Neodiprion lecontei: one gene and its partner. The protein of the gene in region 2 purifies or fractionates together with the protein of the main gene of each other region. This does not show direct contact. Links are inferred from orthologs where the notes say so. Each region holds a gene or a part of one and is shown on either strand. Other genes may lie near its edges.

Evidence for each region.
Region 1: the proteins of syntaxin-18 (region 2) and vesicle-trafficking protein SEC22b purify together in Homo sapiens (affinity purification with mass spectrometry; 5 studies listed by BioGRID and IntAct, counting the BioPlex papers as one, with this or other methods). This does not show direct contact. The link is inferred for Neodiprion lecontei from reciprocal best matches to the Homo sapiens genes STX18 and SEC22B.

Annotation. Positions count from the first base shown.
Region 1 is NC_060262.1:28,171,882-28,182,988, reverse strand, and holds the start of vesicle-trafficking protein SEC22b, read right to left. Parts: upstream 6,791-11,107; 5' UTR 6,678-6,790; intron 6,595-6,677; 5' UTR 6,423-6,594; coding exon 6,348-6,422; intron 5,872-6,347; coding exon 5,762-5,871; intron 5,588-5,761; coding exon 5,427-5,587; intron 5,335-5,426; coding exon 5,188-5,334; intron 5,077-5,187; coding exon 4,928-5,076; 3' UTR 4,921-4,927; exon of another isoform or gene 3,691-4,920; coding exon of another isoform or gene 3,500-3,690; intron 3,193-3,499; coding exon of another isoform or gene 3,068-3,192; intron 2,983-3,067; coding exon of another isoform or gene 2,782-2,982; intron 2,691-2,781; coding exon of another isoform or gene 2,512-2,690; intron 2,342-2,511; coding exon of another isoform or gene 2,250-2,341; intron 2,163-2,249; coding exon of another isoform or gene 1,981-2,162; intron 1,858-1,980; coding exon of another isoform or gene 1,838-1,857; exon of another isoform or gene 1,496-1,837; intron 1-1,495. Other genes in the region: box C/D snoRNA protein 1, read left to right, coding at 1,838-1,857, 1,981-2,162, 2,250-2,341, 2,512-2,690, 2,782-2,982, 3,068-3,192, 3,500-3,690; uncharacterized protein LOC107223481, read left to right, coding at 8,116-8,121, 8,208-10,601. UniProt on the Homo sapiens protein: SNARE involved in targeting and fusion of ER-derived transport vesicles with the Golgi complex as well as Golgi-derived retrograde transport vesicles with the ER.
Region 2 is NC_060265.1:18,619,949-18,629,854, forward strand, and holds syntaxin-18, read right to left. Parts: upstream 7,245-9,906; 5' UTR 6,860-7,244; coding exon 5,900-6,859; 3' UTR 5,153-5,899; downstream 1-5,152. Other genes in the region: uncharacterized protein LOC107220043, read left to right, coding at 212-3,922, 4,009-4,231, 4,421-4,608; coatomer subunit epsilon, read left to right, coding at 7,522-7,626, 8,169-8,657, 8,836-9,144. UniProt on the Homo sapiens protein: Syntaxin that may be involved in targeting and fusion of Golgi-derived retrograde transport vesicles with the ER.

The sequences.
Region 1 (11,107 bases), on a different chromosome or scaffold from region 2:
TTTCGCGCGTTGGCGTATTGTGTATACGGCACTCAAGATCGACACGCAGAGGTGAGACTGAGTATCGTTTCAAATATAGTGGATAATTGGTCTACATTTGCGGGTTTTATTACAGGTAATGAGTCAAACGGTGCTGTGATTAGGTGACCTGGTGATTACAAATCACATATGAATAAAAATGCAATATATGCAGCTGCGGAAATTTTTAAGATATGTTAAATCGAGTATCGCGAAGAACAAATTCATCCACACCGGATCGGATCACAAAATGGAACACAATTCTCGCTACTCTTCACCGGTGACGGAGAGAGTGGACACTTTGATGTCTTACAGAACCAAAATAAAATTCAGATAGTGAGTAATAAGTATGAAAAGTAACAATCAAATAATAGTAAATCTAAATATATCACCGAACAGTCAAAAGGACAGCCAGGATTTACGATGACAATGGAGAAAGGAGGAGTTTCAAGCAGCAGACAAGGCGATGAAGATGGTGGATGGTCGGAAATATCACAAAAGAAAGAGGAAAATAAAATTGTAAGTGCGAAGAACCAAATAAGCCATAGAATAATATCCACCAAATATTCGTATAACCAGGAAAGAGGACGACCAGGATCGATGTTGACCACAAGAGAAAGAGGTGTTTTGCGGAATGAACATCAACGCAAATATAGAGAAAAAAATAATATAAAGAAGGTGATTTTGGAGAATAACGGGCAGAGCGGTAGCAAAATTAATTCAGCAAGTCAAGGAGATAGACAGATATCAATAGAGAAGGAACACCAATTTTCAACCAACGAATGGAAGCTTAGATTGATGAAAAAAAGAAAAGTAAGCACAGAAGGAATTGAAGTGGACAGCAAGTGCAGGACCTGTCATTAAATCAACATGAAGGAATTCGCCTGTCTACTAGACAATGCGTAAGGAAATAGTGAGGCGCGAAGCGCCGAACAACGAGGCGCGCAGCGCCGAGTGCCCGAGGCGCGTAGCGCCGAGATGGGGTTGGCGCGCGAAGCGCGCAGGGGCGAAGCCCCTAGTGAATATATAAAAATAATACATGATTATAGAGTAATGAACAAAGTTATTTTATTCGGTAATATTTATTGTAATCGAATAAAAGCAATTACCACGTATAGTGCTGAGGTGAAATCAGGTTTATTTTTTCCCACGAATCAAAATAAATAATTTAATGGCTTTTTAATTGCAGATACATGCACCTAGTGTATTGTTAGTCAAAGTTATCATTTCATTGATCATCACTTGTTGTAAGAATGATTTTCGTATATAACATTGCAAAAATAGAATATGCAGCAATAAAAAGTAAACAATATTCGCAGTTATGAGTTGAAAATTTATCCACCTGTACAACATGTTGCACAACCAAACGTGCAGGAGCTGAGCTTGTTATAAAGTTTAATCCTTAAAGAAATCTGGAATTATAAACATACTCACCTGGGTTTTTTACAGAAGCTTCTAGAAAATTCACGCTTTTAGTAAATGATCTCAATTACGCGATAATGCTATGCTTCCTCTTGTCTGACAATACGTATATCACCCAAGTTCACACCGATTAAACAAAGAAGAGCCGAATACGTTGACTGAAGAAATTTTCAATGTTTCCCTGGCGATAATAAATCTGTTCGAGGATGCAACAAATAGCTCTGTCTAAATTTTGAATCCAACCACTACAAATCATTCAACAGTCACAACTTATGCGATTGACAATCAATTTGATATTCGCGTTTCACATTTGCAAATGAGAATCGGACTTCGATATTCGCGGATTTTGACGATTCCACTTGATTGTCAACTTGCCGGGGATACCACGTGATTTAAAATGGCGACGTGCAGCGTCAAGTATGTGCTATCCGTAATCTTTTTATCGACAATTATTCATGATGTATTGGAATCATATTGACAAACAAATTCACACTTAACATTTCTGAAATAGTAACGCTAATAATTAAATATTGTAAATAGGTTGGAAGAGTGCGAAGTCTGTGGAGGAAGGAGTGCGAAGTACACGTGTCCTAAATGTGAGGTTAGAACATGCTGTCTGGACTGCGTAAAGATACACAAGAAAGAATTGGATTGTGATGGAATACGCGACAAGACTAAATTCGTACCTCTGAAAGCATTCACAGATCTCGACGTATTGAGCGGTGAGTAAATTAACGCTCATCATACTATTTTTCTGAAGTTGTACTGGATGCCAGTGCATTTACACTTATGTTAATATTATTTGATAGATTATCGATTGCTTGAAGAGGTCGGTAGATCTGTAGATTCATTTCAGAGAGATCCTTCCAAGAAGTATACAAGACTAGGTAATCTGCCAGTGGTGAGTTTAACGCAAGTCAATTATTGATGATGTATATTTAGTTTCAGTCGAGAGTAAGATTCAGTGAACACAGTTTTTGCCAATGAAACTTTCATGTTTGCAACAGATTTGATTTCACAATCAACGATTCAAAATATTTTGTACCTAATCCCACTACCTTAATATTGCAGCATTTGCATAAGTTAAAGACAGCTGTCCATCACAGGAATACAAAATTGGAATTTTTACCTCAAAACTTTAGCAGACATAAAATCAATACAACATATTATAAATGGAAAACAAATGAATTGTTTTGGAGGATTGAATGGATTTTTCCGCAAGCAGAGAATATGAAGCATAATGATAATCGGTAAAGTGTAATTTAATACATTATCCAGAATTGTTTCTAGATAAACGCTAATTTTGTGATTTAGAACGCAATGTTTACTTCAATCTTTCAGTGTCCTGGAAACTGAGAGATTGTCTACGATACTAGGTAGAGTTTTAGATCCTTTGACAATAGAAACCGAAGGTAGTGAGAGTATCGAAGTAATAAATTTGAAGATAGCGTACAGAGAAAAATTACAGTATTACCGAGCAGCTGGTTTTAGCAATATCAAAGTCCTTCTAAAAGCTGAGAAAGTGAAGAGATGTGATTCAAGGTTTGTTTTGCTCTGATTATAGAAAGATTATCGGACTGACACTTTATCGTCTTCGAATATCAATTGACACATTTATTTTTATCAGATTTCACGAGCTGAACCTTACTGAAACACTGAACGAAAATCTGGAGAATAAAACTATCATAGAATTTCCTGTTTTCTATGTGATACTGAAAGATCATTCAGATATGTACGAGATTGTAGACACTGGTGAGTGGTATTATTCAAAAGTAAAGGTGTCAATTTGGCAGACGAGGCTGAAACTAGCAGTCAGAATTAGCAGCCAACCGTTTTAATGTTCATTTGAATAAGGTAGTGAAGTCCAAATAAAAATTTTGTGAAATACCTCGAATCCTCAATACTTTTATAGAATTATGAGCGTAAAACTGAGCTGCATTTGACTATTTTCAAAGAGTTTAACACTTTTGGCTATTAGCTTCAACTTCATATTTCGTAGCTTGAACAATTTATACCACCATATTTGAACTCTATATTGCATTGCACTGAATATCAACAGATGAAGAAGAGGCGTCAACAGAGGCTGAACAAACAAGAGGAAACCTCAAAAGAAAACATACAAATAATCAGAGAGTTAAAAAGAAGAATGAAGGAGTTCCAGTAAACTTTTTCTTTGACAATGATCTAACAGATTCAGAAAATGAAAGTATGGAAATGGTTTCAAAAAATAAAATGTACTCAAATTTATAAAATCGTTAGAAGGTTATCATATCGCTGAGATAACTTGGGGTATTCAAGTATGCACAGCTTCTGAAAATAATAACTTCAACTAATCAATTCTAATTAAAACCGTTGAATTATGTGCAAAACATTTCCGTGAAATTATAGGTAAGAAGTAATAGATTGAAACGCTTCATCTGAGTTACTTTTATGCATTTCCATGCATGACCAAATATTTGGTAGAAATTCAAGCTTTTATTGTAAATAGAACGTTCACTAGAACAGTGTAACCGAATTTGATACAAATACAATAATAATATTATTAATCATGAATACAGGCTACTATATTACACAATTTCCATAGACCCTATGTCTCTTTCAACAATGAGAGCTATTTTTTATGTATGTTTTCCCCAACAATACTTTATACCACGTAAATAATACATAATTTCCTAAGAGTTTTCAATGGGATTGGCTATGCATAATATGTCAAATTCCCATAAAAAACAGATTAGGTTTACTCACTTTGATGGAATTAAAAATAAATTTGATTCGTGTATTCGGAAGTTGAAGCAAAATACGTATGCTTATATTTAAACACGAATATCCATCGAATGAAAATCATTTTGAAAGTGTTACATCACATGAAGAATAGAATTCTATATTCAATCGCCCGTGCGAAAACCTGTAGCAGTATAGATCTTTACAGAAGTAGTTTTGCTGTAAGCAAGTAACATTACATAATAACAGAAACATCTGTTCGTGTAACTTTTCAAAGAGCTCTTAGTACGCAATAATGCCTATGATATTCCTATTGCATTGCAGTTTTCCGATTTTTGTTTCAATTTTTATACATTGAGAAATTTAAATGATTGAATCGTAGATTAATATAAAACTATTGTATCTCTACTCATAGAAGTTCAAAGCTTTGTTTGAGAATTAAAAATGAAAAACAATTTGTTGCCTAACTAAATCACACCTTCCGATTATACAGAAATAAGACTGGAAACTCATCATGGACACAATCGAGGCTCTACTCTGCATATATCATGCCGTTCAAATTCTTTATATCAACTAAACGTCGTATTTTACGCTTGAAGTCAGTATACATAAATATATAATATTTCAGTTTCACTGAATGTGAAACAAAAAGACATTCTCCACAATACACAATGGTCAAAATATTTCGCACGCACGCCCTCTCATAGGTGAAGAATTTATCGATTCCATTTAAATCAATAACACAATAAAAATTCATACTCATCAATTATAGGATGAAAAAGTACAGTAGGAAGACGAGGAATGCAACTATCCCTGCAACTGCCTTTATGTACATTGATTTGCTGTTCAAATGCGTGGCATCCTTTCTGTACTTTTGTGACAACATTGACAAGTTCTGCGTTTTGGTATCTAATTCTGGAAAATGAAGATATTTATCAGAACAATTACAAGTCAGCATGCAATGCCTATAATCGGAGTTGTGTTGAAATGTCGGTTGACAATGTTCAGAATAACCATAGAAATTACCTGAAAGCATAGCTCCTCTCGAAAGAACATCATCGATATTTTGAACCATGATTCTTGTAACATCGTGTAATTGGTTGTTCAGAGCGCTCATATTTCTCCTGGACCGATTATCTGAGAAAGCCTTTTTTGCCTTTTGAATATACGTGTCTGCAAAGGCAATGATTTATATGAAAAAAACATGCCTTGAATATATGAGCTTTGACTAACCGAAGCAAGTCTAAAAGTAAAAGTTCTCTTACCAAATTCAATGAAACTGTAAGGTCTAGTGACGGTGTTGATCTTTTTACCATATTGTGCATCAAACTCTTGTGCAATATCTTCAAGATAGCTGTAAGCTACACGTTTACTGTAATTTCGTTCACACAATACCAAGTAACAAGCTTCTTTTTCGATAAGGTAACTGTAATAGGAAACCAAAAAATTTTCAACTTCCTTCACATTCACATACATTTGAAATTATTAACTTACAGCTTTAAACAATGTGTATTATTGTTTTTTATAATTCATGCATACATTAAATATAATAGAAAAAGAATAACAAAATGACGTAGTAAGATAACATGATCGTTCTTACTGAAATAAATATGGTCCAGTTTCTATCGTGCATCTCAATGGCGATTGTGGCCCAAGTTTCCTGAATAACATTTTGGCTTGATTCTGATATTCCAGAATACTTCTGCCACTCTGTAAGTAAAACATTAAATTTTTTATAATCAACATTGCTACGATATTGATATTAATTTGAACATTTGGATACGGAATCAAGATGATCAAGGTTCAATGCACAATACGTGATTTAGTAAGAATGCGTTGAACGGAGTAAAGAAAGAGCTTTGAAACTCTGCGAAAATGAATAAGAGAAAAGACGTGTGCTTACTGAATTGGATCAGCATATTGTTCTAGGAATAGGAGCAAAAACGAGTGATAAAATTGTATTAAACTAAATGATTGCAACAAGTCATGAATGAACTACGGATTCTTGATAATAATTACAAAGAGTAATGTATCAATAATTAAAATTTTTATTCACTAAAGGGCGAGCGCTTGGCCATTATATGGATAGAATTTTGAGAACAAGACAGGACGATTTGGCAATAAATATGGAAATTAATGAGAAAGTGACATTTCATCATAACAGTCGTTTTTAACAGCAATCTAACCTGTTCATCGTCCCGCATTGTAGCGGCTAGCGGCAGGCCGTCGGCTAACCTCGCGATCATGGTTAATAACACCATTTTTATTGGAATTTATGGAATATCCAGATTTATTCAGATAAAAACAGCAGTCCGTCTACTCATTGAACCTCCAAAAGCCCATTTGTACAGCGCTGGTAACTGATGTGGCCGACATCGGAAAACTCCATTTAGAATTTACCACGTCAGTCGCTGCATGCGCGTCGTTGACTTACTGTAAATTGTTTACCGAAGGTTAATATAACGAATTATTGTTGACAATTGAGCGCTAAAAACTGTTATAATAAATTACGAAACCTCAGATTTATCCAAGTTCCGCAAAACTTGTAATGCAATATTCTTGTGAAAAAAGATGTGAATTTAACAGCCGGCTTACTCGACGCACCAAAATCGTGGTTGTCAACTCATCGGTGAGTCTTTTGCATACCGGATAACCAGGCACTATTAATAACGCAATAAAATTGTCGGCGTGACAAATTTTGCGTGTAGAATCGTTGGTTCGGTATTAAAAAGCCCGCGAGTTACTGATTCGCGTCAGAAGTAGGTATTTTTTAAATTTAATTCAAAGGAAATACGGCGGGTTGAGAACCGTGACACCTTTTACCGCTATCTGTCGGAGAATTGTGCTCAACACCCTGACAATTGTGACCGAGGTATTCCACCTTAACGCCAGTGAACGGAAGAAGTTTGTGACGTGCTTAACCCAGATTTTCCACCGTCAAATGCTCGTGTTTGTACAACAGTTTTCTTAGCATGTTATGGATGTGAAAATGTGCTAAATTTATCGTAAATTCATTTATTACTCAGGTGTTCGTGACAATGTGTGATAGCGCTAGCTGCCAGAACGTTAACTAGGTGAGTAAATGACTTGAGAAAATAATACGATAGTTTGGTATCGTCACAACGAGTTGGTAATATCACAGCTGGGAAGGTATTTTCTGGCTTCCGAGGTCCATATCACCTGTAATTTCCCGACAGGCATTCGCTACTTCGTGTGAAAATCATTGAAATTTACATTGTGTTTCTTGTTATGTAATTATGCGACCGTTTACATTAGTATTGAAACAGATTCTTCACTCACAAGTTGCGGCTTTAAGACTCAATTCTTTTGATTCTGCATATATTTGAAACTTCATCAAGAACAAGTTTGATGTATGGAAGGATTTATAAATCTTTCAAAGTTTAAAGTGTTGTCACTGCAAACGAACCTTTTCTTGGGATGTATCATCGCATGTCTATACTCGTTGTTTTTCTTATCTTTACCAAGGACCTTGACGTCTCTTCCAATTAGTTTAAATAAATTGATAAGCTAATTATGGACAGGATATCCTGTCACCCATTTTTACTCTTCAACAAAACACTTGACATTTCTCATAAATAATACTATACTACAACTGGTCAAGATTGGAATTCAATGAACTCATTCTTGATCGTCATGATGAATAGCAATATTATTTTTGTAATATCATCGAGTGATTAAGAATACAGTGGTTTTGAATGAACGAAAAAAGAAGGCTTAGACTTGCACCTGTGCATCCTTAAATGCTGTTATTTTAAATTATTTGACGATGCCGCAGTTATTTTTCATTTAGCTTGCTAACGGCCTAATTATTTGCTGCAGAAACTCCAAAAATTTACCAGTGGTTTATGTACACCTATTGTCAATATCTTCTGTTTTTTGTTCAGGTTTTAAATATCAAGCTTACGATAAGTGTGGTGTTGGAGCAGAAGTAATATGAACGTAAGTAACACATGGTTTATCGCACTGAACCATCCTACAATGTAACATAACAACTGGAACGAAATTAATTCTAAATTATTTTCCAGAATCCATATCGTGCGAGACCAGCTAGAGCTAGGGTGGATCATGCCGCAGTGTCAGGGTATGGATCTCAGAGTCAAAACACTTGGAGTTCTATGCAGCCTGAGAGACGATCAGGAATTTTGCCAGCGAATGTTTATCAGCAACAGCCCAATTCTCTGATTCAACCTCAGCAGCAGCAGCAGCAGCAGCAGCAACAGCACCAGCCACAACAGCAATCTCATGATCCCTGGGATTGGGGTACCGATAACGGTAATAATGGCAATAGTGATTCGTGGAATTCAAACACTGATCAAAAGTCAGAGTCTCTACATCAGCTTTCTCAGCATCATCAATTTCCTTCTGGCCGCACCAATAATAGTCAAAGTATACAGAATCCACAGCAGGGAATGTATTATCCGAATTTTAACAGAAATAGTAGACCCAATGTACTTAATCAACAGCCTACTTCTGGTGGTAATATTCCACGGACGAGTCTAAGCAGAGAATCTACACCAAGTAATAAAGATGGTTATAATCAATACACGTCTTACGAATATAATCAGCCACCACAACAGCAACAGCAACAACAATATCATTTACCACCTAGGCCTAATTCTAAGTCAAGTCCTGCTGATCATTCGCAATGGTCTATCAGCAGTCAACAGACACCAAATTTACCGTCCCTTGGTAATAATTCAGGTGCTCAGCTGGATAACATCAAAAAAATACAGACTCCTCCACTTCCTCCTCAAACAAATACCTACAATTGGAACAATAGCGACCAACAGTTGGATCCTTCGCTTCGTAACTGGCAAAATCATAATGCCGCGTCAGTCAGTGGGTCCTGGCAAGAACCATCATTGGTAGCAAACAAGCAACAGCCCATAGAAAATATTAATCAGTCTCAACAGGGGCAACAGACTTCTCAAACGTTTGATCCACCTAAGGAATATACTTCGCCAGGACAATCCGAATACTATACTAACTGGAACAGTCAACAACATCAACAGAGTAATTTGACTAATCAATGGCCCTCAAATTATTCACGCAATACTTCAAATGAAGCAACACAGCCTATTCTGCATCAGAATATGGGAACTACGGTTATGAATCAGTGGCAACAGCCAATGTTTCAGCCACCTGTTCCTGCTGAAGAACCAGTAGGCACACAATCCACTCCATCAATACTCAATCAAGCTGATCAAAATGTTCCTTCAAATCAATGGCAACCACGGCAACCTCAATATGAAAATGTAATGCCAAAAGATTGGACCCCTGCACAAAGGCCTGTGGAATTGGTAGCTTCGGAAAAGGATTCAATTTCTGCACCTCATCAACAACATGACTCTCTTGAATCAGCAAAAAATAATAAAAGTATAAACGATTGGCAACATGCTCAGTCTCCTCCGTCACATTTTGCATCATCAACAGGCTCTGCAGTTTCTCATACATCTAACACTGCGGAGCAAATTCTAAGTGGTAACAATCACAATAATGAAAGGAAGAGATCTGTGGGTATATTATCACCGAGTTCCTCGTTTGTAAATGACTTGCCGATACCAACAAAACCTAATGCAATTGAAAAAAAAATTTCGGATGAATCAAATTGGCCTGACGGTGATGTTAATGTAACTTCAAATGCTATGGCTCAAAATAACACCGAGGCAGATTGGTCGACGACTGCGGAATGGAATACTATTCCCACTGCCGAGTTGTCTAGTAGTTTTAGTCATTTACGGCTTTCTAACAAATCTAATAGGCAATTGGAAAATCAGACCCTTTCATCTGATATGCATTCCTCAAGTCACTCTACAGATGGCTGGAGTTCTCAACCTATTTCAGGGTCAGAAAATCCATCAGATAATTCACCACGTGAAAGTGTAGCCAGTGCACAGCCAGAACCCTACCGTGATTCAAGTGAAAGAGCTCATGCTTTAGAGCCTGAACAAAGTTTGGATAATCCACTTACCACATCTCAGTTTGAGCCTCAAGAACATGTATTACCTCAAACACATCAACCTGAGAACAGTAGGGCTGCCGAAACTGTTCCACAAAATGCTGGGTATGATCAATGGTATGCGCAGCGCAATCCTGTGGCTCAATCAGAAAATAGTTGGTATCGCAATGATCATCAGGGTAAATCACAAAAGTGGATGCATGAGCAGAACATTGAAAATTATGAAAACATACAGCAGTCTACTGAGTTTGGCAACTTGGAAGTTGTTACCCCTGTCCTGCAGAAACGGAATATTTATGGATCGCATGATTCCATGAATAGGGAAACATTGGACAATGAACCAAAGGCGAGTGTCAATCAAATAAAAGAATCTAGTACTCCAAGAGACTTTCAAGAAGATATTAACAACGTAGAAGTACCTTCACTACTACAGACGCAACAATCTCTTCAGGTCGAACAGGTAAATTTCCTTTGCACGAATCAAACTGTATCAAATGTTTAGTTGATTAAAAGTGTTGAAAGTTGTATATATGCATCTACACTAACTCGCTTTCACAATGTGAGGATTTTGGTCTGAAACATTTAAAAGAAAGATTAATTGTAAGGGGAGTAAATGTTTCAAAACCCAAGTTTCAAAATTGCATATCTTCTGAATAAAATGTAGATAACACTGTATCAAGGAAAAAAAAAATGAATGCCCAGTATGCATGTATTAGAATATCAATGAAGTTGAAATTTACAATGTTGTCGTAACGAAGCATTACCAAACAAACGATATTTTACAACTTAAAAACTGGTTTACAGGGTTTGTCACTGAAAAATGACTACATTCTGCTTTATATACGATTTACTGCATTAGTAACAACACTAAAATTGTACAACAGCAATTTTAAAAAATATTTCCTTATGTCGACTTTACAAACTTCAACCTCGTGAATCTCGAGTATTGAATTTTTGAAGTAAGAC
Region 2 (9,906 bases):
CATGCTTGCCGATCTCCACAAAAAAATTAACGAATCGGAACTGTTTAACGATTTTATTTTGTTATTAATACATCATAAAAAAGAAAACATGATAACTTCTCGATGACTCGTAAGTACTGTAATTGTTTTAACTGTAATTAGAAACAAGAAAGCCTTTGATTGTATATATCATATTTTTTTGTTACAGATTTTTAATTTCAAGTAATAAAAAATGGCTGAAAATCAAGAAAATGACAATCCCGTAGTGGATTCACAAGAAACTTATTATGAGAAAGCGCAAAACATAAGTGGAAGCCAAATGTTGGATGAAAGTCAAGATTTTGCTTTGGTTGTTGCTGAAGATTCAGATGAAAGTACAACATCTCAGTCCCAAATTGTGAAAAATGTTTGCGAAGCTGAAGCTGGTGGAGACTCTGTAGAACAAAAAACTATTCTATCAAAGACAGAAATCATTAATGATAATCCGACAAAACCAGAGATTTTTCATAAGACACAAAATATTTATATCCACGAAAAGAAACTGAGTGAAGAAAAGGATATTCAAGGTTTAAACATGGAGAACGATGCTCATGATTCAAAATGTAATGACAGAAAGGGGAGCGACGAAGAAGAAATTATTCAAGGTACTCCACCTGAAATTTCTTCTCCATCCAGGAAACGTAAGGCTGATTCTTTTGATGAACCAGCAGCTAAAATCCAGCGAACTCTAGCACAAAGAGATGCCTTAAAACTGGATAGAAACATGGGAAATGCAGATACAAAATTAATCTTGAATGAAGTACCTATTGAAGATACACAAAAACCATTAGATATCCTTTCTGAAAATACCGAAAATATTGACGATGCAGAGAAATTAGACCTACGTGCTACTCAAACTTATAAAAATGTAGTTATTGCAGAAACACAAGATTCAGTTGAATCTGAACCAGTTATTTCAAGTGATTTGACTGCTCTGGAAAATATGAGTTCAAATGTTAAATCAGATGAATCTGATGAGAAGAATCCACGTTCTACAGATAAACGTGATTCAGAACTTGATGCAGCTAATAGTAAACCCAATTCATTCGACAGTAATAGTGCTTTGTCAGACAGCGAGAAAGTGGTTCCACAACCTGATGGAAACATGTTGATAGAAGCCTCTGGTGAGACTTCAGAAATGAATACCAATGGAAAAGATGTGCAAGAGACAACTGAAGATGATAAAATGTGCAATACTGATGACAGCTCAAATATTGTGAGTACAGATTTGATTGAGAAAAAGAGTTGCAAAAGTACAAAGTTTAGTGAAAAGGAAGTTAATGTTTCCGACAATGTGGCTAAGGAATTTTTTGACGTGCCTCTGCCAACTAGTGACAGTAACGTAGAATCTACTTGCGATACAGGATCTCATGGTTCAAATAAGTCACGAATGAGCATTGAGGTAATATACGACAGAAAATCTTCGAGCCAAGAGAAAAAAAGGTGTTTAGGCTTGGTGGAAATTGATGAAGAAGGGGAAAAGATTATTTTGGATGATTCAAACGAGGAAAGCCCTAAAAATACAACAATTTATAAGAGCTGCTTGGACAGCAAAACTAACAGTGAATCAAGCTACAAGTCCACAGGTTGTACAGAAGTCCACAAACATAATGATGACAGCCAAATATTAGATTGCCATACATCAAATGATGACGATTTAACTATGAATAGCAACGCAAAGACGGTCAGTTTGGTCAGCGAATCTGATCCATTTGTTGATGATGTAGTGACAGGACTAAATAAAGGTGAGACTTCTGCGTCCATCGCAAGTCACCCAAATACAGAACAAAGTTTTCGATCCAGCCCTAAACTAAATGACACCTTGGAGATGGTGAATGTTGTTACTGACAGTGAAGGAGATAGTCTTTTTGGCAATGTTAATACACAAAAATTATCTGATAACAAAACTGATAATCCATTGAACGCATCATTGGGTATCAAAACAGCAGTAATTGAAAAGAAAACGAGATTCTATGTCGACTTGAAGTACACGTTACACATTGACGAAACTACCAAAGAAATAATTTATAAAGAAGTAACGGATGTACATTGCGAGCCAGTGTTTGAAAATTCGGGTGCTCGAAGAAATAGTGATGTGTCTGGATGTCTAGCTGATATATCTGGGAATGCCAACAAAGATAATTCTCCAGGATCAGTGATGAGCAATCCTCAACTGTTTCAACTTCCCCTATCTAGGCTTTCCATTGCATCAACGATAAGCTCCTCAAGTTCCTTGTCAAGTGCTGCTTCTTTGGCTGCAAAACTACTGAAGAACACCAACTTCTCTGAACCAAAAGGTCGTGCGAAACATGCTAGAAGGCCACCAATGGAAGTGCACTCAGAAGAAAAAATTATTGATGGTTGGAAGAATACTCGCTTAATTTCAGAAGCGCTCTTGCAGTCTGCAAATGCTTTCATTTATTCTCCAGAAAGCTTCCATCTTGATAACGAACCTGGCAAAATTGAAGACAAAGTATTATCATCTACTCCAGAAACAATAGAAGATACAGAAATGCCCCCGCAAGTGTCAACTCCGAAAAGTACAAAGGCTAAAAAACTATTAAAACGGAAACGTACAACTAATGGAACTGCAAAAAGCAATGGTATCAGGAAAGGCTCCCCAGAAATTGTAACTACCAGTCAAGAAGCCAGACTGCACGTTAACAAAAAACGTGAGAGCAACGACAGTGTTCAATCAGATAAGCTATCGAAAGAAATTACAAGTTTATCAACTCCTAGTAGCCTGAGCACAAGAACAGAGACGCTGAGAAGTCTAACTCCACAAAATTTGCCAAATGATGAATTGATAGGCAAAGTCGTATTTGCCAAATGGTCAGACAATACTTACTACCCAGGTGAAGTTATAGGTAAAACTAAAGACAAGTATAGGATAAAGTTTTACGATGGTAAAAGCAAACTTGTGATGGAGGAATTTGTAATACCTATGCCTGAATCATTGAGGGAAGGTTTATCTGTTTATGCTACTAGCAAAGAAGACGGCTACGCATCAATGGGGATAATTTTGAAATCCGAGAACGTTAAAAATATGATATATTATACAGTGGAAATGGACACTGGGGAGAAAATTAGAGTCCAAATCAACGACATATCCTTGATGCCAGGGCAGGCTCAAATTCTGAAGGAAGAGATGGATGTGGCTTTACAAAATCTACCAAAAACTCCGCAGCACTTGGGTCGAGTTAGTCTTGACAACTTAATCGATGGTAAAAGACGATCAAGGCGAGCTGCCACTCCGACTGTGTCGACACCCAAATCAAGGAAAGCCATTTCTCCAAGATCTAACAAAACAACTAAATCCATATCTCCGTCTGGTTCTGGTCTTCCTAAACTTAAAGGAAATAAACAAGCAATATTGACTTCAGAAAGCGAAACCAAAACAAACGAGTCTGATATTTCAGCGACAGATGATGTGGACGGTGTTGAACCTGAACTACCAACAATGCCATCAGTTCCAATATCAAAGGGACCTTCGGATAGAATGAAAGGGAGAGGGCGAGGCAAGTCTAAGCAAATACATGACGATGCCGAACTTGGACCTATACCTCCGGCATCATCGTTAATATTTGAAAATATGTCTTTCATTTTGACCTCCACCTCGTCAGATGTCATTTCACGTCATCATACAGATGATTCGTGTTCGGATCCTGGAACAGAAAATGAAGAGGAATGGCTTAAAACGCCCTTTGTGAAAGATAGGGTGAAAAAACAATTGGTTAACGGGGGAGGAATAGTGTATGATTCCTTTAAACAAATACCACAATCTGAATATAAAAAGGTTAAACTTATCACCAATGTACCAAATTTAACGGCAAAGAGCATACAATGCCTTTCGGTTGGGATTCCAACCTACAGTCACAACTGGGTAATCCAGTGCTGTCGGGATGTAAGTATTACAAGGTCTGTTTATGAAAAATTGTACTTCCAAGTTAGTAGACTTACATTAAACTATATCGCATGTTTCTCCCCTAGAAAAAAACTCTCAAACTTACTCCATACGAATTGCCAGCTGGTTGGAGTGAAGAGAAAAGGAAATACATTGAATCGTACGATCGATTGATCAAACAACCATTTAATGGGATGATAATAGCCTTGCCAGTACTGGATAACAGAAACGTGATCAACCGTACAATTCAATTTTGGCGCAGTATCTGCGAGAATGCCGGTGCTGTAGTTCAAATAATAAACGACCCAGGTAGCTACAATCTAATGCAACTAGAAATATTCTCTTAAAGTACAATTGTTAACATGAACAAGTAAACACTGACAGGCTTATTTTGACTAAACCTGTCGCAAAATGGAATTAATGCACTATAAACTATTAATCATTTGCATAAAAGAGGCATGTCAAACCCAGTTGTGTAAGAATTTCTCTTTTTTACAGAAACCGATTTGTCTCATGTAACCGCAGTACTGACAGATAACAGATGCCCGTCTTGGCTGGTTGAAAAGGCTGATAGTTTGCAAATTCCTTTGGTATCGACAGTTTGGATTGTACAATGCATAATTGTAGGCCAATCTCTCCAATACGATTCTCATCCTAAATATTCCTATAATTTTATGCAGCCCTGAGTGAATTTTAACATGTCCCGATAATTTTTATTATTACCCTGTTTATTTTCATCTACGACATTTTTTTACGACCAACTCAAATGTATTTTAATTGATATCTTCATTATTTTTTTAATTTTACGACAACGATTCATTTATAGTTTCGTAAATTAAATGAACTAAACTAACATATGTGCCAATGTATCAAATGGCAACTCCAGACAATCGAGGAAGAATTTATAGGAATTGTTCCAATATTAATGCAGGATTAATTCATCACGTGATTATTTTTGTGTAATAATCAAGTATGAAAAGGAGAATTTAGTGTTTGGATCAATTGTCATTTTATTTAAAAACAAAAACTAGTTTGTTTTTTTCACTCATAAACTTGACCTAGGGGATGAAATTACATAGATGAAGCGAGCATCAAATTATGAATGAAATATAATATCGATATTTAGGATAGCCATTGAACGAAAGGAATGACGGGAATAGGAATAATAGGACCTGATTTTTAAGGTACAAGGAAAACCTACCTTTGCGTACAACATTTTTTCACAAATAGGGTGGATACTTTGATTATGAAGTCATTTTGATTGCAATCAAAATATACTACCGCATATATTATTTTAATAATTTCGTTTATTGCTATTACGAATTATAAAATACAAATGTTTTATGTACAATTTTTCCAGCATGAAATATATTGACATATTTTGGCAATTCTGATGTTTTTCCATTTGTTTTCTCTGCTTATTTATATCCGTAATTCATTTTACACAAATTTGCGGACTTCAAATATGCGGAATTACCAGTACCTACTATTAATGAATTTTATACTAAATAATTTCCTCAAAGTAGTACACAAGTTTTACATAAAATAATATTCATATTTTTCTACACAAACTATTAACATGTAAAGTTTGACTACCAAAAATTATGAAATTCTAAAATAATTAAGGGGAATAATAAAAAAGTACAAACTGCTACAAAACGAAACATATATCAATGTCTTACTCGACTATCTCATTTTATTATGTATTTTCAGTAAACTTATAAATAGTCATTAGATAAATCACGACTAGTGTATGAAAATTATAAAAGACGAAACCACAGCCACATCCAGTAATATGTGAAAATAATGTTTGGTGACAAAATCTGCACTTCGACGTGTTTAGAAATGACTGAACAGTTTGATCAATTTTATACAGAAACAAGGCTACGTTCTCTTCAATTTGAACAATATTTCGTATCTTATCGGACACTAGAAGTACAAAATGTAAATATCCTTTGACTTAAGTTTAGATTTATTTCAATCGTTATACCAGTCTAAGAATAAAAGTGAAAATGACATAACAATGAGAAAAAATAAAATCCATACTCTCAAACCAGCATTCCTTTGAATGGCTTGACGGATTTGTTCATTGGCTTCTTTGACATTTTCTGTAGATCCAACAACCGTTGTCATTAATCTATCTAAATTTCTATCCTGATCCAATACTTTTTCTGTAAATATTTCCTGCAGTTCAGCAATGTGTACAACTTTGCTCTCGACTTGCTTTACCTCTTCAGTTAACGTATTCAACTCGTTATGCAGCTGAGCATTTTCGGATTCAAGTATTTGAATATCTTCAGCAGTGAGCTCCTCGTCATCAGCCAATAAATTAACATCCCCATTGATTTCCTGGATTTTCATCGGACTCGATTCATTGGAGCTTAGCTGGTCTCGTTCCTCCTGTACTTCAGGTACGCTGAGCGATGATTTAGACAGCTTCAATTTGCTTGTATTTGATTCTAATCTAGCCATCTTCCTCATCTCCATAGCTCTTTTTACTCTGATTGCTTTCTGCTCCGAATATACCTTGCAGACGTTTCGCAAATATTTCTCAATCAATAACAGTACAATTTCCCTGTGTTCCAAATCCTGACGTGCACCATCAAATCCAGCCAATTCTCTTTCAAGATCTTTTATGAGATGAGAACATGTGGTCATGATCTTCTGTGCGCCTAAATCAATTTGGTCTCTTTCAGCTTCGCTCATTTGCGGCAGACTCGTTAAGTGATTGGCAAAATTTAAATACGCCTTTCTATTTTCTAACAAGAAATCTCTCAACTTTGTTATTTGCATTAAAACGTCTCTGGCTTTACCGAAAAACGGAGTTTGCTTCGTGGTTTTTTTTAATGGGGACTTTGTGTCGCTTGGTATACCCAAAGCTTTATTGCGAAGACGTACAGTCTTCACACAGGCTTTAAATAACGCGCTGATGTCCATTTTTGTACTTCTAAACGGTCTAGCCGTAGTTAGTAAACGCAAGGTTATAAAATTCGAATTTATGAAGGAACAATAACTTGATATTGCAGATAAACGCGTCGATCTCGCTTAACGTCCATAACCTAAAAAAGCAATATCACCGACAACGTGGATCGGTCGCCATGTTTGGTCCACAGGTACTACTGACAGCTACTGACACCGAGAGCAGAAACCTTTTCGAAGCTCTTCGAGTTACATTGATCGAAAGAAATTCGACATTCCAATCTATGAATACGGGATTGTAAATTGCGGTACTATCGTTAATTAACACTACATGTTGACTCGATTTATGTACCGTAAAAACATATGTAAGCTGAAATGCGCATTGCAGTGCAGGACGTGGCGCAAACGCACTCTACCCACGTGTTCCAGAGAGCTGTAGACTCTCCGGCCATATATCGGAAGCCGAGTGTCCGATAGTTGGATTTTCATTTAATTTGGTAAATACCTTGCTCGAAAAATTTCATCGACACGACACAGCATAATCCCATTAATAGAAAATCCATATATTGTATAATCGTATTTTGAGCTAGAATCGGTCGCGATAAACAACGATTAGTTTACAAATCGGATTGAAACTGGAACACATTGATGTAACGTGTGATAGGGGCCAGTATAAAAAGATGGCACGTCAGCAGCAGGCCGACGTTGATGAATTATTCGATGTTAAAAATCATTTTTACATCGGTAATTATCAACAATGTATCAACGAAGCCCAAAAAGTAAAGGTATAAACAGTTTTCTAGAATATCTTTCTTAATGTTTCAACAATACTGTTCTTCTGCATGTGTTATTATCAAACTGCCAAGTTGCTGCTACACCGTTGGCGACGTAGACTCCTGTACACTTTATTGAAACACTTCACAAATATTTGTTTTGCACTTGGCCCTAGCTTGGGATATTTCTGTGTTTAAATCTCAAACGAATCTTTCGTATGATATGTATTGCTGAAATCATAATAAACGCGTTGATCATTGAATCATTAACCTAATTCATAGATTGCTATTTGGAAATTCTACGGAACGAAATCTCAAGTTATTGAAATGAAAAATACATATAAATGAGTAATTACTTTCGTAACTATTTCATAACGCGTTGTTAAATATTCTTTTACCTGTTATTTTTTGTTACAGTACCGTATTACTGACGAATGAGATTTATACGCAAACCTAACATAACCTCAATCAGATTATAATTTAAATAACAACCGTATAAACAAAATTGATGAACAAGTGATCACATTTTTACCCTTATTCATCCTTTAATATAGCCATCTACGTCAGAAATAGCTCTGGAACGAGATGTATTTCTGTACCGAGTTTACATAGCACAAAGAAAATTCCGAGTGGTACTGGACGAAATAAATAATTCATCTCCATCAGATCTACAGCCACTGAAAATGCTGGCGGAATACTTTGCCAATTCAAATAGGCGTGAAGCGATCATTGCTGAACTTGACCAAATAGCCAAAAATGCTAATATAGACAATCACAACTTCATGATTGTTGCAGCGACAATTTATTATCATGAAAAGAATTTAGAATCTGCATTAAGAATATTGCGAAATGCGGATAATCTGGAATGCCTCGCTCTTACATTACAAATTTATCTTAAAATGGACCGTCTCGATTTGGCAAGAAAAGAACTTAAAGCAATGCAAGAAAAGGATGACGACGCTACTTTAACCCAATTAGCTCAAGCCTGGCTCAATATAAGTAGCGGAGGTGATAAACTCCAAGATGCATATTATATATTCCAGGTACAGATAACTGCTGATCAGAAGTAGAAATGATGATATTCTCACATTATGGTACTTGGAAAACTTGATCGTAGTCTGATATTTATTGTCTCAAGGTCTAACAATAAGCTTGGACAATAATTTGTCAGAGAAAAACAGATTTTTAGTCTTTCATACTAATTTCTATCACTGATTCCAGGAAATGATTGATAAACATTCAAGCACAAGCATGCTGTTAAATGGTCAAGCGACATGCTTTATTGGACAAGCAAAATATGAAGAGGCAGAATCGGCGTTGCAAGAATCATTGGACAAAGATAGCAACAATCCAGATGCATTGATTAATATGATTGTTCTTTCGCAGCATATGGGGAAGCCACCAGAAGTTGTAAATCGCTACTTGAGTCAGTTGAAGGACTCCCATTTAGACCATCCTTTTGTTAAAGAATATTTGCAAAAAGAAATTGAGTTTCAGAGACTCAAAAAACAATATTCACCATCCGCCTGAGTATACCAACTACGGTACTGGCACTCAATTGGATAATAAAAGTATCGTATTACTTGATGACGTGAAAAGAGTGCTGAATACTAGACAGCAGTGAGCGTTGAGTAAAAATTTCTATTACTTTGACCAAAATATGTATACCGACTGCACATTTAAATTGGGTGAAATTTGAGGCAGTTCTGATGATAAGAATATATAAAGAAAGCCGTAAGATGAGATGATACGATAGATGATAAATTCAGGGTATGGTTGAAAGAATGTTATTCAACAATAAATTAAGGCTAGATAGGTATTTTCATTGGATAAATGTGATTCTGACTATTGTTCAGTGTCACCTGAAACTTGAATTAATTTGTTTTCATGCAAAGGCTGATTTCTGAATCTATGTCTTCGTGCTCAAATACAAAAATATTTTATATTTTTTTCCACATTACATTGAGTTTTGTACAAATCACAAGCGATTTTTACGCCTTTGCCAAACGATACTGCTGTCTGGTTTTTCTTTTGTGAAGAGTAATTGAATTCGGAGAAATTATTTCATATATCAGTGGAACTCAACATTGTAACAACTTTCAGTTCACTAAAGTATGTACGAGTAATTATAAAATTGTTCAACAATTTACAAAATTGATGGAATGAATATTAACGTAAATCAAAAGCTCTACTTCTGTCCAGGATTACGTGAACATCCAAATATTTTATTTCGTTACCATATTATTTTCGTTGCAAAACAAAAAAAAAGAAGAAATTAACAATACTGCCGCA